Xenopus tropicalis: one gene and its partners. The protein of the gene in region 3 purifies or fractionates together with the protein of the main gene of each other region. This does not show direct contact. Links are inferred from orthologs where the notes say so. Each region holds a gene or a part of one and is shown on either strand. Other genes may lie near its edges. The genes, in order: sdf2l1, dnajb11 and ptpro.

Region 1 (7,244 bases), on a different chromosome or scaffold from region 3:
GTGGTGTGTATGCCTGATATTACATATTGCCACTGACTACGTCACAATAAAAGTTAACTTAAAGGTGAACTACACCTTTAAATATACTTGTAGTAAATAATGGCCATACATGGTCTAATACTGCCTGCTGACTCTTTAAAGGATTTTTAAGCCTACTGGACTGTGTATGGGGTCATAATTATGGCATCCCTGCCTGGTATTGTTCTTTTCCAAATGAGAAGGTTAACTTTTTAAGTGAGATATCAGACTTTTCTTTATATATACCGTAAGTCAAAAAATGTTGTAAGTGCAGCACCTGCATTTTACTTACCTTTCTTCCAGCATCCCAGGTAGTTCTTGTGCAGATTCTTGTTCGCAAATGCAAATAGTAAATCAGAAATGTTAGTCTACTGTGCAAGTGCAATTGCCAAAAGACCTCACAACCCTCTCCAACTATCAGAATTACTGGACAGCATCTACACATTGAACTCTCACACTATCCATTACCGAACTCCCTACTGGACCCACTAAAGTCTGATTTCTATCCCTGACATTCCAACTGATCAATTTGCAGCCTTCGACTCCCTTTCCATTGGGGATTCAGGACACTGCACTATATTGGATCTCATCCTGAGTTTAATAAATCCTTTCTAATAGAGAGGAGATAGCAACATTCCCATCCATGCCCTTGTTACATCCCTTAAAAAGAACTGTAACATACTGTTCTGCGGACTCCCCTCTCTAAGCTGACACCCTCGTAATGAATACTACTGCCAGACTCATACACTTCTCCTCCCTCTTCACAAGTGCCACGCCTCTCTGCCAGTCCCTGCACTATTTTTCAAACAAAAGTTTGATCTAAGGCTGATGTCAGACGAGGCGTAGGGCGGATATTTTCGGAAAGCGGAAAACCGCTTGCCGAAAATTCCGCCCTACGCCTCCTACTTGTGCCTGCACCCGAATGAATAGAATACACTTGGGTGCAGGCACATGTAGTGGAAATACGTATAAAAACGCGTGTTTTAAAGTCTCACGTTTTTATGCGTATTTCCACTACATGTGCCTGCACCTGAGCGTATTCCATTTATTGGGGAGCAGGCACATGTAGGAGGCGTAGGGCGGTATTTTCGGCAATCGATTTTCCGCTTGCCGAAAATATCCGCCCTACGACTCGTCTGGCATTAGCCTTACATTCATGTACCCACCTACAAATCACTCAGTGTTGCACCACCATACATCACCTCTCTAGCTACCAAATTCACCCATAGATGTAACCTTAGGTTTGCACAGGGCCTCTTTTCTTCTTGCTCCTGCATCTAAAACTTTTTAAATACTGCGCCCATATTCTGTATCCCCCTCCCCCAGCCCATTACACACTCCCTCAACCTTTTGGGATTCACATGTGGTCTTGTCAAACACCCTGTTACCCCTCAACTCTATTGGTCACCCTTGATTACTTGATTGCCTATTACATTGTAAGGTCTAGAAAGCAACAAAATGCAATTGTAACAATGTTTCTGGTTGTGAAATGTTACCCCCTTAAGCTGTAGAGTGCTGCAGGAGATTGTGGTGCTATATAATTAATAAGGAAAATACATTATTAATGATTTGTATACAGGTATAGGACCCGTTATCCAGAATGCTCGGGACCAAGGGTATTCCGGATAAGGGGTTTTTCCATACATTGGATCTCCATATCTTAAGTCTACTAAAAAAATCAATTAAACATTAAACCCAATAGGACTATTTTGCATCCAATAAGGATTAATTACATCTTAGATGGGATCAAATTCAATGTTTTATTATTACAGAAAAAAAAGGAAATCCATTTTAAAAATCTGAATTATTTGATAAAAATTGAGTCTATGGGAGACAGGTTTTCCGTAATACGCATTGGATCCCATACCTGTATTAATAATGTCAGGAAAGCTCACGTGTCACAGTCTTTCTACTAGATTTATATACTTCAAATCAGCATAGGATATATGTTAGCATGCAAAACAGGTTTGAAAATAAGAAAACACATTTTCCCCACCCCTAAAACACTTTAGTGCATATTTATGCAAGTGGAGCAAACAGAAATATAGTCTGACCAGTGCAATTTTTATTTCTCTTTTTTCTATTTGAGTACAACAAGTAACATCATGGCTTAATCATTCTGACAAATCTACCTGGGTTCAGTGTAAAACATGAACTCTGCAAAGCTTCAGTCTGTGCGGCATAAAAAGCAAACAAAAAGTATTCTCAGGACTAATAACATGATATTCCAAGAACAGCTGTTAACAGTATTTGTTTGTTCTAGTAGAACTGGCAGCACACACAAAGCCTGTAAAAGCACAGGCAGGTGGTCAGCTTGAATTCTGTACAACACTTTACAGTTCATATAGTTTTTTTATTTTTCTTATCCCACATTGTTTTTCAGGATTGTGTGTGCAACCAGTTTGTCATATTTATATGCTCAATTTCCTCGTGCTGGTTTAGGGTTATCAAGATCAATGGACAAGTTGATCAACAACCATGGAACATATTTTACACAGGACAAGAACTTGAGTCAAAGGGGTTAACAGCCAAGAAGCCCATGTGATGGTTATTACTCTATACAAGTCTGAGTCTGTAAAGAGGTTTTAATCTGCTTTATTTTATTTTTGTAAAACATTAATTCGCAACACAATGATCATTATTAAATGATTATTATTAATCTGTAATGTTATGGGTTTATAGTGATGTTAGAGGCCAAGCCATAGCTAGCCAGGATTTGCTTGCAATGGGCCAATTATTCTATTTTACTAATTTGGTGGGCCTGATTATTATAAAACAACAATATCATATTCTCAAAAAAAAATTTGAGTATGCTGGGAGCCATAGGTTTGGCCCATCGACCTCTCTTAAGACAAATTCAACCATTATACAACTGAAGCTTTGTATTCTGTATGCCAAAGGGGTCCTTTGAATTTTTAAATGTTAAATTGGTGAATTATATTAATAGTTTCCATCTAGATCCACTGAGATGTAACAGGCAGAAACCTTCCAATTAAATGTTCCAACGGTAGGTATGTGAAGGTTGCTGTGAACTGTTCCGTCAGAAACACGGTAAAAATAATTCTTCATCTTGAGTCTCTTCCCAAAGGGAGCACTGGTCACAACCATTAAGTGCATTGAAAATGTTATTATTATGCCTTTTCCACCTAACAGATATATTCTGAAAAAATTACAGTTTGGATCAAGTTCAAAAGAAACAGAACAACAAACAATGGTTTAAAAATATAGATCTAAAAAAAACACACAATAACCAAACTATATCCCTTTTAAGAAATAAATCTGTACAGAAAAGTGACATAGAATAGTGCCACATAGTTTAGAAGCGCTGCTGGTATCATTCATAAAGGCAGATCTGTGTTTATTTTTACTACCTAGTAGAGTTTACTGTGTTCAAGTACATCAGCCCCCAGGAGCACATGGAGCCCCAGTAGTAAGAGGGGCTTTACAGGTTTTGATGTTCTTCACAATTCGTCATGTTTGTTCGCACCTGGTGGGGAGCTTTGTTTGAGAAACACTCCCTCCATTACCTTCCAGTAGTTGTGAGCATTTGGATTAGTTATACCATGGACTTCTCTCTGGCCTCGAATTGGGTGTCCATACTGTTCCCCAGTAATTGTTAAGTAGACATTTGTGCCAATGTGCTTGAAACGAACACTCTCTTCGCGTTCCCAGAGTGTGTCACTGCACTGCACCATCCATGCATCCAGATCATCGCCTTCTCCATTATCCCCAAAAGCACTTACCTCCTGTTAAAAGAGTTTAAACGTAAGCTTGATGCTATGTTAAAATAAATATGCTGTTTCTTTACACTCTAAAGACCACACATGACCAAATATTCAAGATGCTGCTGCATAAGTAGCCCTCTTTTTTTGCAACCACTTTCATTCTTCTGCCTATGCTAAAGCGATACAAGGACAATATTAATTTATAACAAATACAAGTATATACCTGTAACAAGCAATAATAAGAACAAATAGTTTGCTGGCTCACCTTTTATCTAGTTTAGAAAAAACGTCAGCTTGTCTTGAAAGAGAAGACTAAAACCTGAAAGGGCGAGCCATAACACTTTCATAAAAGCTTGAGGAACTAAAGCGATATGAAAACTTCTGTTCATAACCTCAGTATTCAAAATTACTCTAGAGTTTAGGCACTTTCAACCTGGATTGTCTTGCTACTAAGATATGGTGAATTCTACATTACTGGCCAATCAGCAAAAAAATGAACCAACCCTACCTATGATTTTGTGTAATGTTTCTATCTGTAGAGATTCAAATTTCATTGATAATATGTACCTGGTTGTTAGAAAGAGGGGAAGGGAAGTGATGCGTGTGCAAGTTCTTTCCAGTGTTCACATGGGTAAGACGGACAGCTTGACCACACTTGATGGGCTCCCCACGTGAGCAGTCGGCATCTGTCTTGCCCCTTATTCTCCAGTAGCTGTTAGCATCATCTGAGGCCTCCACGCCAGTGACAGACTGCTGACCGCTACCTTTTTGGGAAAAAAAGAACATAATTGTAATAATGTACTCAACAATATATTTTACATGGATTTACATTAGCATTCAAAAAAGGATCTAAGGGACACAGTTGCAGAATACCAAATAATGAAATACAACTTCTGTATGCACCCAAATCTATATTACTCAAACATTTAGTTTTTTAACCAGTAGTTTCTTAAAGAAGCCTTCCTGGCAAAATATATAAATACTTGTTTTACACTTGCTCACAAACAGCAAATAACCATACATGAACAGAAGAAAAGCCTGACTCACATTCAGTAATCAGTTGCAATTTAGAAGGGAACCCACCTTTAGGATAACCAGAAATCTGAAAAGCATACAAAAGCGGCACTAATAATGATAAGTGTGAGCCTATAAATAACTCATGTGTATGTACATTAACTTCGTAACTGAATTTTACCCATAATGTCAGTATGTGCTGACACACACACACACACATATATATATAAAAAACAGACCATACAGGGCACAAATATGAACATTTCCTCATTGCTAATGTCTTCCTGCACTTGCGAAAAAGAATAACACAGATGCTTTTCAAAGCCACCTTTAAAGCTGATCCACATGGAAAAGAATCAGAAGGCAACATTGTTTGCATGGGTGATTTAAAGCACAGAGCCAATTTTACACATATTTTTCCACACTAATAAAGTTTGTCACCCAACCAGAACTGTTGTATTTTAACAGCATGCTCTGGCAGTATTTCTAACTGCCATGGTATGCTACTATAGGTACACAATGCAACTATCAGTATATCTGTGTTTCTTAAAGGAACAGTAACACCAAAAAATCAAGTGTATGAAAGAAATTCCAATATAATGTACTGCTGCCCTGCACTGGTACAACTGGTGTTTTGCCTCAGAAACACTACTATGGTTTATATAAAGAATGCAGCTATGTAGCCATGGGGGCAGCCATTCAAAGGAGAAAAGGCACAGGCACTTAGCAGATAACAGATAAAACACTATTGTATTCTACAGAGCATATCAGTTATCTGCTATGTAACCTGTGCCTTTTCTCCTTTTTTCCAGCTTGAATGGCTGCCCCCGGGGCTACACAGCAGCTTATTATATATAAACTATAGTAGAGTTACTGTAGCAAACACACAACTTTTACCAGTGCAGGGCAACAGTACATTATATTTCATTTACTTTAAAACTCTTTAATTTTTTGGTGTTACTGTTCCTTTAACATTTTTCTCTGGGGACCCAAATTAAGTCGAAAAATCATTTTGTGACCCAATTCCTTTAGAACCAACTATGCACCTCATTTTAAAGTATTAATGTCATGGGAAAACATGTTTTTTTCAAAATGCATCAGTTAATAGAGCTTCCTGCATTGAAATCTGTTAATTTTGAAATTTCACATGGGGCTAGCCATACTCTTTATTTCCCAGGGTGCCACAGCCATGTGACCTGTGTTCTGATAAACTTCAGGTCACACTTTACTGCTGAGCTGAAACTTGGATATATAGTAGATATCAGATTAGCACTCAATAGTAAGAAGTCCAACTTGGGACTCCTCCAGTTACATGGAAGTAGGAGAAACAATAGGCTGCCTGGAAGGTGTTCTAATTTGTAGCTCTGGCTCCTTCTGAGATGGCGCCTACACACCAATATTACAACTAAAAACAATAAATTTGTTGGTTCAAGAATAACATTTTAATTTGTAGACTGAATTATTTGCTATGTAAACAGTGTAATTTAGAATTAAAAAGTACAACATAAAAATCATGACAGCCTTAAATCTCTAATGCTGGAAGAAACTTATGTGACCCAATTTACACAGCAAGGAAACCCATTTTTGGGCCAGATTCATAGGTTAAGAATCCGTATTTTATCTGAATAGAGCCTACATAGTTGTGGGTGCGCTTAGTGTGGCTTTCCTTTGCATTTAAACGAGAAAAAGGTACAGCAATCAATCACAAACTTACAGTTTAGGCTGCCAGTTAACAAGCATTCATATATCAGGGAAATATTGAGTTATTCTCTATAAAAAGAGTGGCGCTGCTAACCTCAGAAATAATCTACACAGATTCCTGTGCATCACAATAAATCTCGCAGAGCCCATGTCATGAGGGAGATAATGATCCATCTTGCCTTTATGAGATCTCATTTTATTTTATCATTCTGTGTGAAGAGGAATTCAGGCCTAAAAAAACAGGACTGGATCATTCCGTCCCTCATGACAAGGGGTTGGTTGACAGCTCTACATCTGGTAAGATGTGACATGGCACAAGAGTTGCATGAAAGTTTTTAGAAAATGAATTCCCTGCAGCCCTTGCAGTCAGATTTGCCAGAGTGAACTGTCAAACTAAAGTGAAAGTTGAACTAGTTTGTTTGCATTGAAGACACCTTCAGAAATGGCTGATGAAGTCAAACTGGAAGTGAACCCTTACAAAGACCTTGGCCCATTACTACTAGTGGCCAATATGCAAGTAGCTTGTTGCAAGTAGCACCTACTGTGCAACACTCCTAAGCTCCCCGACTCCTACGCAGTATTCGTAGAGGCTTCTGAGAGTTGCAAGTCTATAACAAGCGTGGAAGCCAGCCACAGCTATAGCCAAATATTTACAGCGTCTCCTTACCCGAGCCGTACTTCACATCATGCGAATGCAATCGCACGTTGTGCCGAGAGTTAAGCAGCTTTACCACGGAACCGCATGTTACATATTCAGCATCCTCCTCACTGCCTTGCCCCCGGTGC
Region 2 (8,734 bases), on a different chromosome or scaffold from region 3:
TTTAAGGTCATGCCACAACATCTCAATAGGATTCAGGTCAGGACTTTGACTAGGCCACTCCAAAGTCTTCATTTTGTTTTTCTTCAGCCATTCAGAGGTGGATTTGCTGGTGTGTTTTGGGTCATTGCCCTGCTGCAGCACCCAAGATCGCTTCAGCTTGAGTTGACGAACAGATGGCCGGACATTCTCCTTCAGGATTTTTTGGTAGACAGTAGAATTCATGGTTCCATCTATCACAGCAAGCCTTCCAGGTCCTGAAGCAGCAAAACAACCCCAGACCATCACACTACCACCACCATATTTTACTGTTGGTATGATGTTCTTTTTCTGAAATGCTGTGTTACTTTTACGCCAGATGTAGCGGGACATGCACCTTCCAAAAAGTTCAACTTTTGTCTCGTCGGTCCACAAGGTATTTTCCCAAAAGTCTTGGCAATCATTGAGATGTTTTTTTAGCAAAATTGAGACGAGCCATAATGTTCTTTTTGCTTAAAAGTGGTTTGCGCCTTGGAAATCTGCCATGCAGGCCGTTTTTGCCCAGTCTCTTTCTTATGGTGGAGTCGTGAACACTGACCTTAATTGAGGCAAGTGAGGCCTGCAGTTCTTTAGATGTTGTCCTGGGGTCTTTTGTGGCCTCTCGGATGAGTTGTCTCTGCGCTCTTGGGGTAATTTTGGTCAGCCGGCCACTCCTGGGAAGGTTCACCACTGTTCCATGTTTTTGCCATTTGTGGATAATGGCTCTCACTGTGGTTCGCTGGAGTCCCAAAGCTTTAGAAATGGCTTTATAACCTTTACCAGACTGATAGATCTCAATTATTTTTGTTCTCATTTGTTCCTGAATTTCTTTGGATCGTGGCATGATGTCTAGCTTTTGAGGTGCTTTTGGTCTACTTCTCTGTGTCAGGTAGCTCCTATTTAAGTGATTTCTTGATTGAAACAGGTGTGGCAGTAATCAGGCCTGGGGGTGACTACAGAAATTGATATTGAAATTGAAAATTGAAACTGATAAACCACAGTTAAGTTATTTTTTAACAAGGGGGGCAATCCCTTTTTCACACGGGGCCATGTAGATTTGGAGTTTTTTTTCTCCCTTAATAACGTGAACCTTCATTTAAAAACTGCATTTTGTGTTCAATCTAAGTTATCTTTGACTAATAGTTAACGGTTTTTGATGAGCAGAAACATTTAAGTGTGACAAACATGCAAAAGAATAAGAAATCAGGAAGGGGGCAAATAGTTTTTCACACCACTGTATATAACATAGTTACATATTTTATGTATGACTGGGTCTCACTCCTGAAACAATGAAGCAGAAGTTAACTAATTAAAGGGGATATATAGCATAAATTTTTACAATGCACTAAACCATGTAAAAAACTGTAAAATAGAAGGAAGTGCTTTTATTTTAATACCTTTGGGTTCAAATATGTCCATAACTGCTTGAAAACTGTGCTCTACCCAGACCTTATGCCAGCTTCCGGTTTAGACTCTTCAGTATATCACTCAGAGCCACCGGCCCTCATAGACTTCTATGACACCCTCCTCACCTACTTAAAGTGAAGTGAATATTCATAGAGTGGTTGGGGCTTAGTGAGCTCACAGACAGTCCATTCCTGCTCTACTCGCTCCTCTCTTTTGTATGCTGCTCTCATATAATGCCAGTTTTAGGAGGAAAAATGCTTTCAAAACATCTTTCTTTCTGCATCATTTCACATTTTGAGGGAGGATGAATATTAGAACTGAATATGAACTTTATATAAAATGTCTCCTTTAACAGAATTGGAGGATAACTTATTTATGTTACTCTATTTTAAGAGCCAGAGCATATAAAGGGATAAACAAATAGGTGATGGGGATATTGGGATAAGCAAATAATGCATTCAACTGCAATTACAAAAAAAAATAAAATCAATAAAAAAATTCAATGTTACTGAGAATTACATTCTTGTATTGTTGCACTTTTTAGAGTGGAGGCCGAAGGAAGTTAAAGGAAAACTATACTTCCCAAACAATGTACGTCTCTATAAAAACATATTGCATAAAACAGCTCATATGTAAAACTCTGTCCAACTAAATAAACCATTTTTATAAATAAAAGTTTATTAGTATGTGCCATTGGGTAATAGAAAATTGCCATTATAAGTACTAAGGGCCACCCCCTGGTATCATACAATTTACGGTGCACACAAATAAACCAAGGGCACACATACATATTAGGTCAGCCAATTAATGGAGAAAATTCTGACTTTTACTCCAACACTATTTCTTGTAACAGTTAGAGCTGCATTATTTCTGGCCATGTGATCTCTAAGGAAGCTCACAAACTATCACAAAATGATGGCTCAAGGTAAAAAAAGCAATATTTACTGAAATATATTAAAGTTTGGTAAGATTCTTTAGAACACCACTTATTATGATATAAACTATTTGCTGGCTAAGTATTCATTCTGGGGGTATACATTTCCTTTAACTTCTTAACAGCAGAATTCTACACCATCATTTGCAATTACGATCAGATTTACGAATGGGTTTTTGCCAGTACTCGATTTTTCTGATATTGTTTCCCGTATAATTAGAGTTTTACGAAAATAATCCCATCATTTGTGATTTATGAATTTTTTTGAGGGGGGTAATAAAAAAAAAAATCAGGCAGGTTTGATCTATCATGTATCACTGGGTCCTATTAGAAGAAAAATAGAATAGTCAGTGACAGCTTGTCCTTGACACATTTTCAAGGAGAAGTAAACCCCCTTTCTGTTTCACCCAGTTTCAAGTGTAAATTAATCCCCCTCATTGTTTTCTGTTGCACGTAGTTTCAAAGGGAAGTTAATTGACTTCTATTTCACACGTTTTCAAGTGGAAGTTAAGCCCATCATTGTTTTGTATTTCACCCAGTTTCAAGTGAAACTTGAATGTGCGCCAATTCTCCTAAAATGGCTGCTGGAGTAATTCCTGTTTGGGAAAAATAAAGAGGATTCATGGAAACATCCGTTCAAACTCAAAGTTTTCGGGTTTTAACATTACTTTCGGCTTACATAACTATTGTTCATGACCTATTGTTCTAAATGTGTTTTATACATTATAATATGCATTTAGATAGTAAAAACAATGAAATAATTATATGAATCTATTCCATATTACTTTAAACAATGGAAATGCCAAGTGTTGCTGTATAATATTTTTATGACGAATGGTTGCCAAATCTGCACCTTCACTAACAGTCACCAAACAAAACACCAGGCTTTTCTTGATCTACTGTAAAATATTAAAGCTCAATTTGTTAAACATTCTTTTGCTGCTTCCCTCATCTTGTTCACTCTGTTCTCATCATATCTAGTATAAATAAATTTAAAGCAATTGGACTTGTTTGGTAATCATTGAAGACGTTTCACTAGTCATCCGAGCAGCTTCTTCAGTTCAACTGACTGGTATGGGAAGTCCTCAGCATAAATACTCTTGAAGTATATAAGTATAATTAGAGTATATATGCTGAGGACTTCCCATACCAGTCAGTTGAACTGAAGAAGCTGCTCGGATGAGTAGTGAAACGTCTTCAATGATTACCAAACAAGTCCAGTTGCTTTAAATTTATTTATACTAGATATACCATGACCTGGATGAATGAAAATCTTCATAGACATATCTGTTCTCATCACTTTCTCCCTATGTTCCTATCACTTTCCCCTTCATCTATAGTACAAAATACCAAAAAATGTTCCATTTACCAATCACTACATTTTACTTACTTTAATTTCCCCACTCTGCATGTCACTGGCATAAATGCAATTTTTTAAAATCTCCATTGTGAAATATGATTTACAGCATACTCGGACTTTTGCAGAAAGTAATTAAAAAAAACATGGTGGAAGACCTTTGGTTACACAAATTCGGTCCCATACTAACATGTAATATACAGTATATGACATATAAATCTAGTCTGTGGAAACAGGTTGACACACAGGAACTATAATAAAATAGCCAAAACATACATTAATGGTTAAACAAAAAGTCAAAATTTAAAGTTACAAACAGCCACTCAAGGAAGCCTGCATTTAATCCAAATTTACATTTTATGAATGCAATCCTGTTAAATGAAAGGGTAACCACTGCAAATAACGCGATCCTTACCCTCCGCTGACAATGACCATCAGGTAAAATATTAAGAAGCAAACACCGGTAGTGGATTTATAGCAGACCTTCATGATTCAGATACGAGGAACAGACAAGTTTCTCAATTTTCACATTCACCACAACGAGGAGTATTTAGCGAAAAGCAGAAGCAAACGTAATACTACAGCGCCGCAACCAATTACAACGGAGCACGTCATAAGACACGCATATATAAATAACCAATAAGAAGATTTTGCTGTGTAGTTTCCGCGTGATTTTGTCCAATGATATTCACAGACATGGCAAACGTACATGCTTAGCTGTACAGCCAATAGTAATACGTAAATGGTCGTGCTTATGGTTTTATACGACTGATCCTGCACCTCGGGAAATAGAACGCGCGTTTATGTGCTTTCTTACATTGAATGGCTATGGCCTGGTCTGTAAAAATTGCCTTGACGCCAATAATGTCAATAGAGAAGAAAGATAAAAGAACAGCACAGCAGTGTTTGAGCAAATTTTAAATTCGCCCAAATGACATGATTGTTAATGTGCGTAATGCAATCAGAACTTTACATGAGAATGCAATACAACACGGCACGCTTCTATATAATTTAAGCTTTAGTTTCAATAGTCTTCGATTGTAAATTCTGTGGGGCAGGGACCTCCATGCACGTCATCTAGCTCTGTGGAATATTTAATGCAACTGTACTTTTTATTTATTTGTAATTGTACTCTGCCTTTATCTATTATATTAATGGCCCCTACTTGTTTTTGAATGTGTTGTTATGCTGTACAGCACTGCCTATATAGTAGTGCCATACCTCCCAACATTTGAAAAATGAAAAGAGGGACAAAAAGATTTTGACCACGCCCGCTTTAGTGGCCACGCCCCAATTACCACACCCCATTTTTTTAAAAAATACTCCTTTTGTATATTACATTAACATTTATTTATAAAGCGCCAACATATTCCGCAGCGCTGTACAATAAGTGGGTTACATACATTGGACATACAGAGTAACATATAAAGCAATCAATAACCGATACAAGAGGTGAAGAGGGCCCTGCCCAAAAGAGCTTACAATCTACAAGTAGATGAAATGGCGGGATCAGACGCAAATGTGCTATACTCTCCTGTATACTGTACTACCTAAGGAAAACAATATAGCAACTCCTACATATAAAATACAAATATAGAAAGAAGGCAGACAGTTATAAGTGAGTTATAACTATGTATCAGCTTTGCCCCCCATACACTGTAGCCCCCATACACAGTAGCCCCCATACACATTAGCCCCTATACACAGTAGCACCCCCATACACAGTACCCCCCCCCCCAATACACAGAGCCTCCATACATGCTGCTGCTGCTTCTCCTTCAGTGGCTCCTCTCTATATGCGGCTCCTTGTTCGGCGGAGCCAGGCCCTTTTATAAGGTTGCGTGTGTGCGTGTGACGTCAATACGCACGGGCGCAACCTTATAAAAGGGCCTGGCTCCGCCGAACAAGGAGCCGCATATAGAGAGGAGCCACTGAAGAGGAGGAACGCCTGACTACAGCCAGCCCATCCCGCTGTCAGGGATAGTTCCATGAATGTCCCGCATTACGGAAATGCGGGACATTCATGGAACTATCCGGGACTGTCCCGCGGAAAGTGGGACAGTTGGTGGTATGTAGTGCTATATAAATAAAAATACACAAAATATCTATAGATGTCACCATCACACCCTTCTTAAAATTCTAATAATAGGTGTATATTTAAAAATCCATTTAAACAATTACATTGTCCTGACAGTCCTCACCATAAATATTGCACTAAAACATCATAAACTGTAATCTACAATCTCATCATTAGATAGCTGTCAACCCCCCTGGGTTTCCTGGGAGTTTGCTAGTTTTGGTCCTTCTCCTCCTTGCCTCCTCTCACTGTATGCCATTCCCTCAAGTTTTTAAGTTTCCCCAATGGTGTGCATACATGTGCACATGTGCAGTGAGCAATCTGGGACAGCATAACGGTCCTGTGAGCACCCTTGGTGAAGTCACATTAACTAATGTCAGTAACTGATATAGTGTAGGGCATCAAAGAGCCTTTTCCCCTGTTTTTTTTGTCTGTGACATCATGCAGCGTGATTACAGAATGGAGAGAAATCCAATTTGCCTCTCGGAAAACAGGAAGACCCAGATAGAGACAGGGATTGAAGCCAAACCACAGAGTGGGCCATTTCTGCAGTAACCAGCCAGATCTGAAGAGCAGAAAGAGAGACAACAGGGAGAGTAAAGGATCTGCCTTTTAAAGTGATACAGACACCTAAAACTAAACCATTTTTTAAATATATTATAACATTGTCTTTGCATGAGCTTTATTATTTTGCCATTAAACTATTTGCCATTACCTATCTGATCCCCTGTGTTCCTCTATAAGGGGGCTTCCATATTTACATTAGAAGCATTTCTAAGCATTTGTTAGCATTAGAAGCTATAAATGACAGGCTGAGAAGGGACAGTCAGGTTGGCAAAACAGTTGCTACAAAAGCAGCCCTATCAGTGAAAAATTATTAACATGACCTATAGGTAACTTTTTATGTACTCCAGCCATATAAAGAGAGAGTTCTGCTTAGCTGCTTTGCATTCCTACAGTTTGGTTTTTAACAGCAATCCAGTTGCTAGGGTCTTATTTACCCTAGCAACCAGGCAGTAGATTGAATGAGAGTCTGGGGTTGGCTGCATATTATGGTACACTGGCTCCTGGGCCGGTTAAGGGACAAAGAGTCCCACAATGAAAACAAGCTGCAGGGCCTTTTTAAGGCCTTGGTGGGCCCTGGGCCAAAATCCAAAGAGTGGGGCCCTATTATCCTGCCGTATGCAGCATGGCAATATTTTTATTTTTAACTACACCAACTTTTTGCCCACACCCGTTTCACCAAAACATAAACCCAGACGTGCTAGAATAATTACTATAGAAGATGGATACTCTGCAAATTTACTTAGAGATGCCAATATAATTAATAATGTAAATTAAAAATGTTATCCCCAGCTGTGCCATTGTAATGACTGTGGAAATGGCCAATCAACAAAAAATGGCCAATGAGACAATCTGCAGTTGGTCTTCATTTATTTTTTCATTTATTTAGGTTTCTGCTTTGCAATTCTACAGTTTGGTTTTGAACAGCAATCCAGTTGCTAGGGTCTTATTTACCCTAGAAACCAGGCAGTAGATTGAATGAGAGTCTGGGGTTGACTGCATATTATGGTACACTGGCTCCTGGGCAGGTTAAGGGACAAAGAGTCCCACAATGAAAGCAAGCTGCAGGGCCTTTTTAAGGCCTTGGTGGGCCCTGGGCCAAAATCCAAAGAGTGGGGCCCTATAATTCTGCTGCATGCAGCATGGCAATATTTTTATTTTTAACTACACCAACTTTTTGCCCACACCCGTTTCACCAAAACATAAACCTAGACGTGCAAGAATAATTACTACAGAAGATGGATACTCTGCAAATTTACTTAGAGATGCCAATATCATTAATAATGTCAATTAAAAATGTTATCCCCAGCTGTGCCATTGTAATGACTGTGGAAATGGCCAATCAACAAAAAATGGCCAATGAGACAATCTGCAGTTGGTCTTCATCTGAAACACCCAGACTGACCTCTGTAACATGGGCAACCATGGCAGTCACTATCCTCAGCCAGACACTACAGTCCCAGGGCAGAGCAGGACAGGGCCCTACCACTTTGGCTGCCCATAGGCAGCCATATTCTAATATGTCTGAATGTAGACACCTTTAATTGCCCACCCTTTAGGCCTTGGGGAGAATCAACAAAACATTGGCATTTTCAGTGCACAGTGCGTGTCATCAATATTATCCCTGCCTCTTCCTCGGGTTCCTTAATCAAAGCAGAAACAAACATATTTCCCCCTTCGTAATAAACTCTTCCACCATAACTGGTATGCAAATGAGCTGCAGATGCTGGGTATAGCCTTGCCCAGTAGGGCAGACAGCTCTACTGCTGCTGTGGGAGAGGGAACTGTTATTTAATGGGGGAGGGGCAGCGTCACTACTGGCTGCAGGTTTAACTATATTGATATTTTTACATAGCATTTAGATTCTATTCTGCTGATGAGGCCTAGTTTAGGTGCATTGCTCTATCTTTGACCATCAGGGACTCCTAATGACACAACCTCAATGCAGCTTACACAACTGTCACTGGATTTAGCCAATTGTCATCTTTTTTATTGCTTTGTGTTAAATACCAGGGGTTTTATTTCATTTATTGCTTTGTTGGCACAGACTGTCTTTAGCTGTTTGGCAGATCGTACAGGCTATACTTGCAATTGGTCTTGATCTGAGACAATCTGCAGTTGTTCTTCACCTGAGACAACCTGCAGTTGGTCTTCATTTATTTTGGTTTCTGCTTTGCATTCCTACAGTTTGGTTTTTAACAGCAATCCAGTTGCTAGGGTCTTATTTACCCTAAAAACCAGGCAGTAGATTGAATGAGAGTCTGAGGTTGGCTGCACATTATGGTACACTGGCTCCTGGGCAGGTTAAGGGACAAAGAGTCCCACAATGAAAGCAAGCTGCAGGGCCTTTTTAAGGCCTTGGTGGGCCCTGGGCCAAAAT
Region 3 (8,489 bases):
ATGTATCCCAGCACTAGGGCCCCTAAGACAACATGTATCCCAGCACTAGGGCCCCTAAGCCAACATGTATCCCAGCACTAGGGCCCCTAAGCCAGCATGTATCCCAGCACTAGGGCCCCTAAGCCAGCATGTATCCCAGCACTAGGGCCCCTAAGCCAGCATGTATCCCAGCACTAGGGCCCCTAAGCCAGCATGTATCCCAGCACTAGGGCCCCTAAGCCAGCATGTATCCCAGCACTAGGGCCCCTAAGCCAACATGTATCCCAGCACTAGGGCCCCTAAGCCAACATGTATCCCAGCACTAGGGCCCCTAAGCCAACATGTATCCCAGCACTAGGGCCCCTAAGACAACATGTATCCCAGCACTAGGGCCCCTAAGCCAACATGTATCCCAGCACTAGGGCCCCTAAGCCAACATGTATCCCAGCACTAGGGCCCCTAAGCCAGCATGTATCCCAGCACTAGGGCCCCTAAGCCAGCATGTATCCCAGCACTAGGGCCCCTAAGCCAGCATGTATCCCAGCACTAGGGCCCCTAAGCCAGCATGTATCCCAGCACTAGGGCCCCTAACCCAACATGTATCCCAGCACTAGGGCCCCTAACCCAACATGTATCCCAGCACTAGGGCCCCTAACCCAACATGTATCCCAGCACTAGGGCCCCTAACCCAACATGTATCCCAGCACTAGGGCCCCTAACCCAGCATGTATCCCAGCACTAGGGCCCCTAACCCAACATGTATCCCAGCACTAGGGCCCCTAACCCAACATGTATCCCAGCACTAGGGCCCCTAACCCAACATGTATCCCAGCACTAGGGCCCCTAACCCAACATGTATCCCAGCACTAGGGCCCCTAACCCAACATGTATCTCAGCACTAGGGCCCCTAAGCCAACATGTATCCCAGCACTAGGGCCCCTAAGCCAACATGTATAGTGGAACCATTGCTCTCTGCAGTGCCATAATCTACACATTACAGGATTTCACTTTTGAGAGCACAAGGGGATTACACGTTGGTCGCATTTCTTGCCTGATGTTTAATCTCCTACAATTGGACCTAATACAGCCGCAATACCGGCACATCCGCTCTCCGGCACCAAAGGAGATTTCCAGAAATCACCAGCAATCCCTACATGACGGATTACATAGATACACGCATGGATTACCTAGTTACACACGGATGACACAGTTACATTCATGGATTACAGAGTATTACATGCAAAATAACTGCCAGTAACAGCTGCCAATGTCTGGGCCAGGACATCTAAGAAGAAACCAATCAGCCAAACTGGGTCCCAGGACCAAGTTGCGATGGGATCTGGACGGGTCACTCTGTATCACTGAGGGTAAATGTAAGAAAAGAAGCAGAACCACCCCTCGAAACCTTCATGCCCCCGCGCCAATCAGCAGAGCTCACTATTAACCCTATAAATACTGTACCAAGCACTGTATATGAATAAATCTGCCCTCATCTGACTCAGGCTGAACCATGGGCAGTTAGGGCAGTTTTATTAGTTATCAGGCACCGAGGGCTCAACAGACAAATTCTTGGCTTCCAGGAATGTGCTGATCCGACTCCTGTGCCGAATGGACATTGCATAAGTGGAATCTAAATAACTGTAAGTGAGTGAATGAACCCCCCCCCCCGGCCCGTCAATTCTTCACCTCACACAGAAGTGGGGAACAAACTCACAAGTACAAAGTAACACAATCAAACCGACCCCACAGGTTCCATGAGACCATGAGAGAGGGTCAGATTGGGCCCCCAGAACACCAGGAGTGCCCTGGGCCCACATAGTAGCCAGTCCGACTCTGAACCTCACTTAAATCAAGCATGTAGAACTCTATTTGACATTACCACAACCAATCAAAGGGCTACACTAACCTGCAGCCAATCAGATCATTTAAACACAAAAAGGGCTAGACCAACCTGCAGCCAATCAGAGCATTAGCACTTGATGGACTTTGGTCTTTTTTCAACCCAACTTAACTACCCGCCAAACTACCCAACTATGTATGTTAAACTCACAGGGCTAGACCAACCTGTAGTCAGACAACAAATTAGAACATTGCCGTGACTAGAACAACTTGTTGCCAGTCATAGCAATAGAACATTCTTTGGGCTAGACCAGTGTATAGCCAATCAGAGTATCAGAACATTTCCAGGAACAGACCTGTAACCATTCAGGATTAAAGGGGCCATTCATGGTACTCAGACAGATCAGCCAAAGGGACTATCTGACAGTTTTAGAGGCTGGGCACATATATGGCCACTCTTCAATTGGTAAACTGCCCAAATAACTAACGGGACAGACACCGGGATAGCAAGACTATTTGTTTTAACAGAACCCCCCCCCCATCACTTGCCATACCTTCCCAGATAAATGGACAGTATGGTCGAAATCAGCCAAACTGCCAAAACAAATCTGGGCATGTATGGTCAGCTTGGACAGACATGGGTTGCTACAAGTGAAGAGCAATTTGTTATCCAACTACCTGGCCTACTGGGTCTGGCCTATTCATCTGCCTGACGTCCTGAATTACAGTGAGAGTGGGCTGTAGGCTGTGGGCTGTCAGGTTTGGATCTGCCAATGCCTAATCAAAATATTAGAGGGAAGGGCCTGCATCAACCAATGAAGTTCTTAAGCAGGACAGACCAGTTGGGATCCAATATAATAGCAAATGGGTTTTGAAACCTTTATGCTAACGTGGCCATAAGTGCCCAGGTAAATAAACAGAAAGGTCAAACCAGGACTAACTGCCACCCAAATCCAAGCATGGTGGGTTTATTTAAAACTGTGAGTGTACAAAGTGCCTCTGGGGTTTTATTTGCCTCTAATGCAAAGCAAGTAATACCTTAGCTCTAGATCCCTGTATAATAAGGGTGGATATGGGCACCTCGTCCCCTAGTAGAGGGGTTCAATATAATAATAAAGCCCCATATAATACAAGATGGATATGGTGCCCTTCTCCTCCCATGGGGTGGGTAGAACAACAGAGAGCTCAAAATTATAACATGCCAGCAGAAGAATGGAGAGGTCTGCATAATAAAGACAGAGATTGGTCCTAGAAGATAACGAGGGAGGCTGTATAATATGGATACAGATCGGCCCTCCTCCCATAGAGGGGTCAGCACAAGGATGGGGGTGCTCTGTATAATAAATATAGAGATGGGCCCTTTGGTTTATAAAGGCGTAAGTAGATAATGAGGAAAGCTGTATAATATGGATACAGATCGGGCCCTCCTCCCATAGAGGGGTCAGCACAAGGATGGGGGTGCTCTGTATAATAAATATAGAGATGGGCCCTTTGGTTTATAAAGGCGTAAGCAGATAATGAGGAAAGCTGTATAATATGGATACAGATCGGGCCCTCCTCCCATAGAGGGGTCAGCAGAAGGATGGGGGGCTCTGTATAATAAATATAGAGATGGGCCCTTTGGTTTATAAAGGCGTAAGTAGATAATGAGGAAAGCTGTATAATATGGATACAGATCGGGCCCTCCTCCCATAGAGCGGTCAGCTGAAGGATGGGGGGCTCTGTATAATAAATATAGAGATGGGCCTTTTCATTTATAAAGGAGTAAGTAGATAATGAGGAAAGCTGTATAATATGAATACAGATCGGGCCCTCCTCCCATAGAGGGGTGAGCAGAAGGTTGGGGGGCTCTATATAATAAATATAGAGATGGGCCCTTTCCTTTATAAAGGAGTAAGTAGATAATGAGGGAGGCTGTATAATATGAGCAGAAGGATGGGGGGCTCTATATAATAAATATAGAGATGGGCCCTTTCCTTTATAAAGGAGTAAGTAGATAATGAGGGAGGCTGTATAATATGAGCAGAAGGCACACCGTGCAATTAGCGACTAATCGCATTCATTTAGTGGCTGTAGGTTAATATATACATCGCCGCAACCAATCACAGTAATTGAGCACTGAGCAGCTGTAGGTTAATATACACATGGCGGCGACCAGTTGGGCATTTTCTGTGCCCATTAGTTGCCACGACTTTTTTAAAAAAGTAATTTTTAAAAATCGAATTGTGTGCCTTGCCCTTATAGTTTCATTTAGTTGGGTGCTCTTTAAAAACACCAGGAATTCAGATAGGAGGGTTTATTTAAAACTGTGAGTGTACAAAGTGCCTCTGGGGTTTTATTTGCCTCTAATGCAAAGCAAGTAATACCTTAGCTCTAGATCCCTGTATAATAAGGGTGGATATGGGCACCTCGTCCCCTAGTAGAGGGGTTCAATATAATAATAAAGCCCCATATAATACAAGATGGATATGGTGCCCTTCTCCTCCCATGGGGTGGGTAGAACAACAGAGAGCTCAAAATTATAACATGCCAGCAGAAGAATGGAGAGGTCTGCATAATAAAGACAGAGATTGGTCCTAGAAGATAACGAGGGAGGCTGTATAATATGGATACAGATCGGGCCCTCCTCCCATAGAGGGGTCAGCACAAGGATGGGGGTGCTCTGTATAATAAATATAGAGATGGGCCCTTTGGTTTATAAAGGCGTAAGCAGATAATGAGGAAAGCTGTATAATATGGATACAGATCGGGCCCTCCTCCCATAGAGGGGTCAGCAGAAGGATGGGGGGCTCTGTATAATAAATATAGAGATGGGCCCTTTGGTTTATAAAGGCGTAAGTAGATAATGAGGAAAGCTGTATAATATGGATACAGATCGGGCCCTCCTCCCATAGAGCGGTCAGCTGAAGGATGGGGGGCTCTGTATAATAAATATAGAGATGGGCCTTTTCATTTATAAAGGAGTAAGTAGATAATGAGGAAAGCTGTATAATATGAATACAGATCGGGCCCTCCTCCCATAGAGGGGTGAGCAGAAGGATGGGGGGCTCTATATAATAAATATAGAGATGGGCCCTTTCCTTTATAAAGGAGTAAGTAGATAATGAGGGAGGCTGTATAATATGAGCAGAAGGATGGGGGGCTCTATATAATAAATATAGAGATGGGCCCTTTCCTTTATAAAGGAGTAAGTAGATAATGAGGGAGGCTGTATAATATGAGCAGAAGGATGGGGGGCTCTGTATAATAAAGACAGAAATGAGTCCATTCCCCTATAAAGTAGAAAAGGCTGTATATTATGGGGGTCTCTCTCCTCCAATAGAGGGGTCAGTAGCAGGATAGGATTCAGTATTATAAGCACAAATTAGGGGTCCCTTCTCCCATAGTGGGGGGTTCAGTAAAAGACTAGGGGGAGGGAGAGGGATAACGCCCGTCATTATATAGATCGCATTCTTGGGGCCGGGGGTGAATAATAAAGATTTAGGGCCCCATACTCCCTCTCACCTGCAGGAAGATGATGATGAGGAGCCAGGTTAGAATGGGGATCATTATGCCGGCGGGCCGCAGGGGCCGGGGACACGGCCGCTCTCAGAAAGGATCAGCGGCTCCGGATCTCTCTCCGTTGGATCAGAGGGGAATCTGGCGTTAACGATGGGTTGGCCGATCCTCTTGGTGTGAGCGATATCCTGGCCGGTCTCCTCCCTCCCTCTCCCCGGCTGCCTGTCAGGCTGGGACCGATGCTGCTGCTGCTGCTGATGCGGGGGGGCACACGGTGATGTCACGGTCACATGGTTGGGGGTTGGAGGCAGATAAGCTGCGCCGGGGAAGGGTGGGTGCAGGGGGCAGAGATGGGGCTACATCAGATAATGCTGAGATGGGGGGTTCGGTAGGAAAGTGGGTTTGCAGCCAGGGCGGAAGGGTGCTGATGGGACTAGGTGGGTGCTAGGGTGGGCTCGGAGGCTGGTATGTGGGGCTTGGGTACCAGGATGGTTGGCACCAGGATTGGCAGATCTGAGCTGGGAGAAACTGCTCAAGAAAATGAAACTATAAGCGAAGACACACCGTGCAATTAGCGACTAATCGCATTCATTTAGTGGCTGTAGGTTAATATATACATCGCCGCAACCAATCACAGTAATTGAGCACTGAGCAGCTGTAGGTTAATATACACATGGCGGCGACCAGTTGGGCATTTTCTGTGCCCATTAGTTGCCACGACTTTTTTAAAAAAGTAATTTTTAAAAATCGAATTGTGTGCCTTGCCCTTATAGTTTCATTTAGTTGGGTGCTCTTTAAAAACACCAGGAATTCAGATAGGAGGGTCAGTATGTTGCACCCAGTTTATCTCTATAACAAGGGTTGGCCACAGTGTTGGACTGGCCCACCAGGAACCAGGGAAACTCCCGGGGGGCCCAGGCATTAGTGGGCCCTCCTGCCCCTGATCATTTGGCCTACTTCATGGCCATCCCTATTTCTGTATGGGAACAAAGAGGAGAAATAGAGGGAAGGATAGGCACTAGCATGGAAATAAAAGAGACTTGGAGAATAAAGAGGTTGGGTGAGGAAAGGAGGGAAAATAGTTTGGAGAGTGAGCCTATGGGCTAAGGTTTTCTGGGGGCCCCTGGGGTTAGGGGGGTTAGGTTATTAGGGTTAGGGTCAGACACTGGTTGGCCAAACTCTGCCAAATCTGAGTGCCAAAAATGATAATTTGACCTTTTTCTTATAATCATGTGAATTTAGACCAAAAGTAGGGTTATTTGGGGCAGATATTTTTGTCCCATGATTCCACTAATTTACATATTAGGGTCCAACTCCAACTTTTCAGTTGGTCTTCATTATTTATTTGTTATAGTTTTTGAATGATTTGCCTTATCCTTCCAACTCTTCGCAGCTTTCAAATGGGGTCACTGACCCCGGCAGCCACAATCTATTGCTCTGTAAGGCTACAGTTGTATTCTTATTGTTTTTTAAAATTATTTTTCTGTTTAGGGTCCTCTCCTATTCATATACCAGTGTCTCATTCAAATCACTGCCTGGATGCTAAGGTAATTTGGACCCTAGCAACCAGATAACTGCAAAGTCCAAACTGGAGAGCTGCTGAACAAAAACTGAAAGAACAAAAAAAAACTACAAATAATAATGAAGACAAATGATGAATAGCACTCTCAACATCATACTAAAAGTTAACTCAGAGGTGAGCAACCCCTTTAAATTTTGGGTACAGCAGAAAACACCTGGGGTCAAGCTGATGCCGGATCTGGGATCATTTCTTCGAGTGCCTGTTGCAGGGGGCTAATAGAGAGGGGCAGAATGTGTGATGGGGGCATGAGAAGCCCCCCACACAAGGAGAGATACAGGGTTGTGCGTTAGTCACAGGGGCTGCTGGGATATAGCAGTTCAGTGCAGGGTGGGAACTAGGGGTAGGCAGCACAATGGGGGGTGGGGGGCACTAGGCAAGTCCAGACTTAAATATAAAATAGGCTTCAGCATTTCAGCAATTAGTCAGAAGCCCAATAAATAGAGACTACATATACCGTTCTATAAAGCAGCCCCTCTGGGGTTTGCCAGTTGGCAAGTAGGGCGGGCGGGGGGGGGGGGGGAATAGTGATGGCTGTAACTTTGCTTTGGGTGCTCTTTGTTTCTGGCTCAGCTTTATTCAGCACAGTGAGGTTTAATAATGTTGTGGCTTCCCTAGTCTGAACAGAGACAGAGGAAATTATATGTACTGTATATACTCGAGTATAAGCCTAGTTTTTCAGCACCCAAAATGTGCTGAAAAAGTCACCCTCGGCTTATACTTGACTTGGGTGCCATGGGTCCCTCCAGACTAGCACCCTCTGTCCTTTGTGTGCAAATTAGGCCCCCCCACAACCAGACCCTCCAGTGCCTGTTGTTTTTGTTGACCCTCTTCTCCACTTATAGAGCTAGTTTACTGTTTTTCTTTAAAATAAATATTGAAAAACATATACCCCACTGATGCCTCAATTAATGTAATTGTATTGGTATTTATTTTGATTATTAAAACTTAGCAGTAGCAGCTGCATTTCCCACCCTAGGCTTATACTCGAGTCAATAAGTTTTTCCAGTTTTCTTAGGTAAAATTAGGTACCTCGGCTTATATTCGGATCGGCTTATACTGGAGTATATATACGGTAATCTTTATATAGAGATGCAAAATACATCGGCGCTATATATAATAATAAAGGGGTCTCTTCATCATTTGGATGGCCATACCTTAAGTTTACTGAAAAATCATTTAAACATTAAATACACCCAAAAGGATTGTTTTGCCTCCATTGAGTATTAATTATATCTTAGCTGAAAACAAATAGATGCTGTTTTATTCCTACAGAGAAAAATTAAATCATATTTAAAAATTAGAATTATTTTATTAAAATGGAGGATGGAATTGTTTAATTTGGAGCTTTCTGGATAACGTATCCCATGCCTGTACTTGGAATTGTCTCCTTTAAAAATGCAGAGACCAATTATCTTTTACATAAGAGGGAAACCAGCAAAGATACTGCCCCAGTGTCTGATTGGTTCTCTCCATTTGTCTGTTCATTTGGGAATGGAAAGCAGTAGAAGAAAGTTGAAATTGAAAACCCTGACATACAGTATAGCCTTTCAAAATTATAAAGTAAACTGAGCCAATCAACCACCCCAGAATG

The links.
Region 1: the proteins of ptpro (region 3) and sdf2l1 purify together in Homo sapiens (affinity purification with mass spectrometry; 3 studies listed by BioGRID and IntAct, with this or other methods). This does not show direct contact. The link is inferred for Xenopus tropicalis from reciprocal best matches to the Homo sapiens genes PTPRO and SDF2L1.
Region 2: the proteins of ptpro (region 3) and dnajb11 purify together in Homo sapiens (affinity purification with mass spectrometry; 3 studies listed by BioGRID and IntAct, with this or other methods). This does not show direct contact. The link is inferred for Xenopus tropicalis from reciprocal best matches to the Homo sapiens genes PTPRO and DNAJB11.

Annotation. Positions count from the first base shown.
Region 1 is NC_030677.2:153,821,965-153,829,208, reverse strand, and holds the end of sdf2l1 (stromal cell-derived factor 2-like protein 1 precursor), read right to left. Parts: coding exon 7,126-7,244; intron 4,508-7,125; coding exon 4,311-4,507; intron 3,765-4,310; coding exon 3,480-3,764; 3' UTR 2,067-3,479; downstream 1-2,066.
Region 2 is NC_030685.2:43,693,639-43,702,372, forward strand, and holds the start of dnajb11 (dnaJ homolog subfamily B member 11), read right to left. Parts: upstream 4,221-8,734; 5' UTR 4,203-4,220; coding exon 4,129-4,202; intron 1-4,128. UniProt on the Homo sapiens protein: As a co-chaperone for HSPA5 it is required for proper folding, trafficking or degradation of proteins.
Region 3 is NC_030679.2:85,749-94,237, reverse strand, and holds the start of ptpro (receptor-type tyrosine-protein phosphatase O precursor), read right to left. Parts: upstream 5,551-8,489; 5' UTR 5,368-5,550; coding exon 5,323-5,367; intron 1-5,322.